2 linked regions of the Daphnia pulex genome follow. The protein of the gene in region 2 purifies or fractionates together with the protein of the main gene of each other region. This does not show direct contact. Links are inferred from orthologs where the notes say so. Each region holds a gene or a part of one and is shown on either strand. Other genes may lie near its edges. The genes, in order: sodium-coupled neutral amino acid transporter 9-like and ragulator complex protein LAMTOR2-like.

Region 1 (4,529 bases), on a different chromosome or scaffold from region 2:
CGTAACCATTTGTTAAATAGCCATCGGCTTCGGTCGGGATGACGAAGGAACTTATATCGCCATAACGGACGCAGACGGAACGGGCAAAATTACCTTACTGCCTTTTTTCACCAAAAGTTTGTGTCCAGGAGTCAGAGAGGTAAAATTTAATTAATTTAAAAACAAATCTGTGACTGTTCTACTTTTTAAATTAGCTCACAAGAGTTGAGAAATTTATGGATAGTGAAGTACATCACCGTTTGTCCATGGCCCAAATGTTGCAACCCGCCCCAGTTGCCCCACAGCTCCACCTGCCTGAATCCCCATTAATCTACAGCAATCGCGAGGCGTACATGGAAGATTTCAAGATTCTCGAGAAAAAGATTCTCAAAGATGTCGGTGATGTTTGAAAGAGAACGTGAAAAATAAACGATACGAGAACGTTATATATTGAAATCGGAACCGACCTGTCTAAGCGTAGCGGCCATCAATTGGTGACGACAAATTGGGCAATTAAATTTAGTAGACCACACAACATAATAAAACCGTGCACAATATACACCCATGCCGGAGCTCGGCCGTTATTCTGCTTCCTGTAAGACACGACGTACAATATACTGGGTAGTGTGAAGACGTAGACCAAACCACACAAAGCGCCGGAGAATCTGGATGAGTAAATATAAACGACCAATTAGCACGGCGATGGGAAACCCGGTTATCAATTCATTCGACTTGCGTACCTTGTTATGGTGCCGACCTGCGGCAAGAAGATGGCGAATACAACGCAGACGGACAGCAATATCACGTTGAGAGAAAATACGTGGTTAAAGCTGGGATAAATGGAATTAAAGAAAGCGTACAGAATCTGCGTTCTCAGGATGTAAGCGAGTAACGGAAAGACCGTCATCATTTGAAAGAGCAAAAAGACGCGAGCTATAACGGTTAGCGTATCCGAACGCGAAAAATTGTTCAACAAATTCTAGAAAGCCCAAAAGAAAAAAATTAAATTAATTCCTCGAAATCTTAATGAACGAATCATTTTCAATTACGTCTTCGATGCAATCCTTCTCGAGGGGAAATGTGAGGTAGAAAGTTGCTCCGATACCTAAATAAGTCAGCGCTACCAGGGTGTAGGCGATACTCAAATCACGGCCCTAAAACACAAAAGAAAAATTTTATTCAATGTAAGGCCAAAATGAGAAAGAGAAATGTAAAAATTACGTTGCACTCTTGGCGCCGATTGTTCTTCATGATGCTCACGACGCAATTGTGCAAGTACAGCGCCAAGGACAACATGCCCGACAAAGCCGGAAAGTTGGAGCGCAACAAAGGCACGTAGAAGGGTGAAGTAGTGTCGCTAAATTCGACGTGCACTCCCCATTGGGACGCTTTGGTGACAACGAATGCCATGATGTAGAATACCGAGACTGTGCCCAGTGCATTAAACTTGGTGAAAAAGGTGGCTGACTTTAGGCAGATTAGGGGCAGCAATAGGAGAGCCATGTAAATAGGAACAGTCAGATCCAAATTCCAAATTTTGTCAAAGGTAGAAGCTCCATTCTGGAATATCGGTCCATTCAGGAGTGACGAGAAAGTCAGATTATCGATCGGATCCGGACAAAACACTGTTAAATGTAAAAAAAAAAAAATGTAAATAAAAGAACAAATAAACATAACCTATTGAAACTCACGATTAAACGCCGAAGTATTGTCATCGTCCACGGACAACAGGGTAACAGACGTCGTCGTCGTAATCAGATCTGTTTGATTAAACAAATGATATATTTTTGAAGATTTTTTCGACCGTTCAAAATTTTAGATCGTATAAAATTGAAGTTCTTTACCATACACGTATTTGACCGTATGATAGAGGAAGTTGGACATGAGAACCCAGTACACCGCACTTGCCCCAAGTAATGAAAGTGCCGAAAAGAGAACGGAAACCCATTGACCGACACGCCCCAGCAGGAACATGCAGAGATCTGGAAAGTCCGCAAGATTTTCCTTCTCACCTGCAATAAAAACCAAACTGAATTACGTCATTCAAAGATACCATGACCGAAAGTAATATACCGTAGATGCCGTAAACTTGAAGGATACAAAAGGCAGTGTAAAAGCAGATGGCTGCCATGACAAGGATCAGTGACAATCCAGCTACCAGTCCTGCTTGCTCAACAGCCCATGGCATTGAGAGTAACGACGTACCCATCATTGTGTTCCAAACTGCAAATCTACAAAAATTTAAAAAAAGAATTGAATGTTGATTACAAGCTTTATCTTGTATAAAAAAATAAAAGTTGGAAAATGATTTAGTTACATAGTTATTAAACTGCTTTGTTTGCCAGTTAAAGGAACTGTGCCAGGAATGTATGGGTAGAAAAAGATGGATGGCACAACATGATCAGGTATCAACTAAACAAAATAATTTTGACAACCATCAAAGGAATTATCCTAAAACCAACTAGATACTACCATGAGACAGCAACTCTTATTTGTCTCATGTAAAAAGACCTAATGTTTGTACCAATGCTTGATCATTTCCAATGGTGGGTCCTCTTAATCTCTGGTAGTATTTATAGCGTGAGTAAGTAGCTTCCTGAGCATTATCGTATGGTACAGCATCAATCAAGACAGGGGATTCAGCACGATTTGCTGCAATGGTACTCTGTAAGTGGAATGGACGTCTCGTTCGTTGTTTTGAATTGGCATCCCGAACTCGTATTCCTCTTAACGTTGGCGAAGATCTGGTGGTTAAAACACAAGCAATTGCCAATTAGCCGACATTTGATTATATGCAACGAGAAATTCATTTTATTACCTGCCAAGATCTGATGATGAATCTAGTGTCACCTCACTAGCTACGTCTGAATCTGGTAATATGACGTCCACATCTCTGTTCATTGTTTAAATTAATTATAGAACTAATTCTGATAACTTCGTTGCCAACCGATGGGTCGGGTAAGTAAACAAAGACTAGTTTGAAGGAACTTGTTTTCGTGAGACCCATAGAACTTTGACAAGCAAGCAGACGGATGTCTACAAAACATGTGAAGCCTTCTGAAGCCTTATCGCACCGGCTAGTCCGTTGGAATGCAACAATACAAAACAATTCTCAAAATCTTTTCTTTGTTAAACCTAGACATAATTTTATCGTATTTTATATTTTAATTTGACCTCCAAAAAAGTTGTCAACAAAATTTCTGTGTTGTTTTTTGGGTGTATTTTTAAAAAAGGTTTTTAAAAAAAGACGTACTAGTAGTTAGTAGGTCAATGACCGAGCGCAAAGTGACAGAACTATGGGGCGGATTAAAATTTCATCTCGTTTTCTTATATGTTATTGGAATTTGTTGCATACAACATGCATTTCATCAGCTTTCAATATAATGCCAGACTCTCGATTTCTTGCGTCACGTGCCGTGATTAACTTGCTTTAGTCAGAAAACAAATGATCCGTCTTAGAACAGATGTTGATATGATAATGGAAAGTGCGCCATTAACAGTATATGGGGCTCTTCGGGATCTGTTTTATTTAGCCGATTTATCTGGCAACGCAGCATGGCGCCAGTCTTTTTTGAGGGAAGAACGGGGAGAAGAGGGAGAATGGGACGAGTGGGAGGGAGGAGGGCGTCCTCCCATTCTCCCTCTTCTCCCCGTTCTTCCCTCAAAAAAGACTGGCGCCATGCTGCGTTGCCAGATAAATCGGCTAAATAAAACAGATCCCGAAGAGCCCCATAGGCCTCATTATCATCTTTTTAATACAAATACGGTCACATGCAGTTAATCGTGGTGAATCATATATTTAGTATTAAATAAGTTAACAAGCAATGATTCAAGTAAAAGCGTCTACTGAACAAACAAGAATGGGGATACATTTTTTTAAAATGTGGTAATAATGTTGGCCAAATCGATACTTTTAATCTTATCATTATCTATTATCTAAAAAAGATATTTTGCGTAAGGGTTGTTTCCTGCTCTCCGTTAGATTTTCGGACCGTCCAATCACGACAACCTCCACGGCAATTGCAGCAAAATTGGTCACAATCACTGGAGCCACAACAAGGATCCCCCGGAGTTTCATCCCAACAGTTGCCGCTGGATTGCGGTTCGCAACAATCAATGGCCTCAACCGGATACGACACCATCCACAGAGTAATCAAAAGAATGAAAATGCATAGTGAAGACACCATTGTCTCAGTTAAATCTGTCAGTTAGCAAAATAATAATTTTCTTATTTTAAATTAAGTTCAACTAATACTACATAAATTTTAATAATTTTGACTATTTAAATATAAAAATGCAATTTACGGTTATGCAGGACTTTTTCTTGTAGACCGCTTTGTGCGTACCGAATTCGTCGATGACTGCGCTAGATGTAGGACAAACTGAGAAGTGATCACGGACCTTAAGAAATAAGAATGTTAGTTAAACCCTAGAGGAGCAAGATAAGGGACTGTGAGGAACGGATTTCATTACACATTTCTAAATAAGGGAAGGACAAGAGAGTCGTTGGCCTAAAGGTCAGAAATGTCGTAAAGTCGATGGTCGGGTAG
Region 2 (2,927 bases):
TGCAGAGATCCAAAGTCTTTTTTCTTCAGACTCTGTCAAGAAGACAACAATCTTGCCTCAGATAAAGTATTACTTTATATAACCTCAATTTTAACTTGAAAATTATGCTCTTTATTTTAAACTAGGATGAAACAGGTGCCTTCATGATTGATCGGGACCCTACTTATTTTTCACCAATATTAAACTTCTTGAGACATAGCAAACTAGTTATTGATAAAAACTTGGCTGAAGAAGGAATCCTAGAGGAAGCTGAATTCTATAATATTACTGAACTCATCCAGTTAATTAGAGATAAAATAAGACTAAGAGATGAGGTACCACAGAAGGAAAGTAGGAAGCAAGTTTACCGTGTATTACAGTGTCATGAGGATGAATTAACTCAAATGGTTTCAACTATGTCTGATGGATGGAAATTTGAGCAGGTGTGTACACACAAGACAATCTTATTAGTTACTACAGACTATTTATTCTAATCTTTTTTTTATATAGCTAATAAATGTTGGGTCACAGTACTCTTATGGGAATGAAGACCATTCAGAATTCCTGTGTGTTGTATCAAGAGAGTGTGACAAGAGAGAAAGAGAAACAGAGCCTACTGATAGAGCCAAAGTAAGTATCTGCAATTTACTATTGATGGAAGCATTTAAAAATGTTGTTTCTTTATTTAGGTGCTTCAGCAGAAAGGGTTAAGAATGTAATAAGCTATGGGATTTTTGTACCAGGAACCAAATACTGAACTAAATTTATGCAGAGAACCAGCCTTGTGGGATTTTATCCACGTTGCAGCCATTTTGACACTTCTTGTTCACAAGTGTTGCTTTTTATTCACAAGTGCAATACAACTCTGCTTCACAGCTTCATTAAATTTTAGGAGATCCAAATTTGTATTATAAAAAAATGTTCATGATGCTGCTACTTGACGAAGAGGAGAATCAAGATAGTCTGCCAATGCCTTTGCTTTAGCATGAAGCATTCCAAAACACACATTTTCTTTAGCATAGAGACATAGAAGTAAATTAGCAACTTGGGCAATCACCACTTTCCCATCCTTTAAAGGCATTGGCAAAATTAATATTTGTGTTTACTAAACTTTAAATTGAATAATACCATGCAATCAAGAAGAACACATTCCAGGACATCTTCATTGAAGGCAACTTTCCCATTTTTAGCATATGCTGACCAAATGTTGCTAGCTATCGCTGCTGTCACTCGTGCATCCTTGTCCCCATAACCACTTGAAAGCCACAAAATTGTTTAAACACTATAAACAAATGTAAAACATTTTAACACATTTTGCTCACCTGTAAGCTAGCAACGCCCCCTCCGTATTTAAAAGCCTGCATAACAAATTAAGATAATAAATAAATAAAAATAACTAACAATCGTTAACTATTTTAAGGTATCACGCCATATTACAAAGTGCTTAAGATTCCGCCAGTGTTTGCTTGAGACAAGACTTGAGTAAGAGCTTTTGGTTTTAACATTCTTTAGATTTGTTGGTATCTTCTGTTTTGACACAAGCTGAGTCAGGGCTGAGTACAGCTGTTCAGTGTTCACTACTCCTCTTAGTCTCTTACTAAAAAAAAAAAAAACAAATGAATGCGGATGTTTCCTACATAACCAGGCCAGGCTGACAATCTCTTCTTCAGGCAGCGGCAGCGGCAGCGCCCCTTCCGTTGACCAGGGAATTTTTTCTCACTCAATCTTGTCAAATTCTTCTGCTGTAGGTGGCCTTAATGTATTCATTTCAGATTGGTCCAAAGGTGAATTTCGCGCCCGATTATTTTGACTTTGGTGTTTAATTACAATCATGATTACAATGAACTAAAGTTGCTTCTTGAAGTCAGAAATCATGCCGCCTCAAAAACCTTTGACTCATTTTTTTAAACCTCTTCAAAGTGGAGGTGTGAAGCGTACATTCTCAGAACTTGTGTCTGGCAATAAGACAGCTGAAGCCAAGAATGTTCAAATTGAAAACAAAGTAGGTTTTTTTGTTCTGTGTATACATGCCTGGTATTTTTTGTAAAGTCTATTCATTTTTAGCCTGTTGGAGAAAAATCTGGTGAGAAGACTGAAGTAGTTACTCCTGAAAAAAAAGAAAGAATGGGCACTAACCACTTGTTAGCGAAAATAAAATTGCAAGCGAAGAATACTTGTGCCTTACACCATAGTATTGGTCATTCATGGTTTCAAGCAATTGAGCCAGAGTTTAAGAAACCCTACTTTGGTGAAGTATGTACATGTTTCTTTTTTTTTAACTTTGAATAACAATTATTTTCATTTACCTACATTATTTTGTTTTTAGCTTAGTAAATTTCTGGGTTCTGAAAGATCAAAGTCCACCATTTTCCCTCCAGAACATCTTGTGTGGTCTTGGACCCATTTCTGTGATATTCAAAATATCAAAGTTGTTATTATTGGTCAAGATCCATATCACGGTCCTGGTCAAGCTCATGGTATAGTAAAAAATAATTACTTTTATGGCTTTTAAGATAAAGAATTGACATTACATTTTTGTTTCATAAAAAGGTTTGTGTTTCAGTGTTTTGAAAGGAGTTCCTCCTCCCCCAAGGTAATATTTAAAATTTTTACTTTAAAAACTACTGTGTCTAATTTTTGCAAAACTATTTGAAGTTTGGTAAACATCTTTAAAGAGCTGGCTTCAGATATTGATGGTTTTAATATTCCTAAACATGGTAATCTCACTGGATGGGCCAAACAAGGTAGACATTTAAACAAAATCAATCACAGTTTAACGTTTGTCTTAATCTTCAAATAAGAGTCACGTAAAATTGTTATATTGATATTTCACATATTTAGGTGTGCTCCTTCTTAACGCTGGCTTAACGGTCCGATCGGGCGCAGCAAATTCGCACAAAGACAAAGGCTGGGAAACTCTGACGGATGCCGTGATCCAGTGGATTAGC

Evidence for each region.
Region 1: the proteins of ragulator complex protein LAMTOR2-like (region 2) and sodium-coupled neutral amino acid transporter 9-like purify together in Homo sapiens (co-immunoprecipitation; 5 studies listed by BioGRID and IntAct, with this or other methods). This does not show direct contact. The link is inferred for Daphnia pulex from reciprocal best matches to the Homo sapiens genes LAMTOR2 and SLC38A9.

The regions. Positions count from the first base shown.
Region 1 is NC_060019.1:7,949,893-7,954,421, forward strand, and holds sodium-coupled neutral amino acid transporter 9-like, read right to left. Parts: upstream 3,023-4,529; 5' UTR 2,881-3,022; coding exon 2,798-2,880; intron 2,724-2,797; coding exon 2,504-2,723; intron 2,392-2,503; coding exon 2,297-2,391; intron 2,211-2,296; coding exon 2,053-2,210; intron 1,992-2,052; coding exon 1,824-1,991; intron 1,740-1,823; coding exon 1,671-1,739; intron 1,605-1,670; coding exon 1,201-1,604; intron 1,134-1,200; coding exon 1,029-1,133; intron 959-1,028; coding exon 720-958; intron 645-719; coding exon 467-644; 3' UTR 408-466; downstream 1-407. Other genes in the region: dynein axonemal intermediate chain 3-like, read left to right, coding at 21-139, 195-389.
Region 2 is NC_060023.1:11,050,459-11,053,385, reverse strand, and holds ragulator complex protein LAMTOR2-like, read right to left. Parts: upstream 1,597-2,927; 5' UTR 1,485-1,596; coding exon 1,417-1,484; intron 1,338-1,416; coding exon 1,302-1,337; intron 1,235-1,301; coding exon 1,108-1,234; intron 1,049-1,107; coding exon 902-1,048; 3' UTR 805-901; downstream 1-804. Other genes in the region: BTB/POZ domain-containing protein KCTD5-like, read left to right, coding at 1-66, 126-422, 490-609, 669-698; uracil-DNA glycosylase-like, read left to right, coding at 1,853-1,981, 2,044-2,232, 2,306-2,456, 2,530-2,572, 2,635-2,723, 2,821-2,927. UniProt on the Homo sapiens protein: As part of the Ragulator complex it is involved in amino acid sensing and activation of mTORC1, a signaling complex promoting cell growth in response to growth factors, energy levels, and amino acids.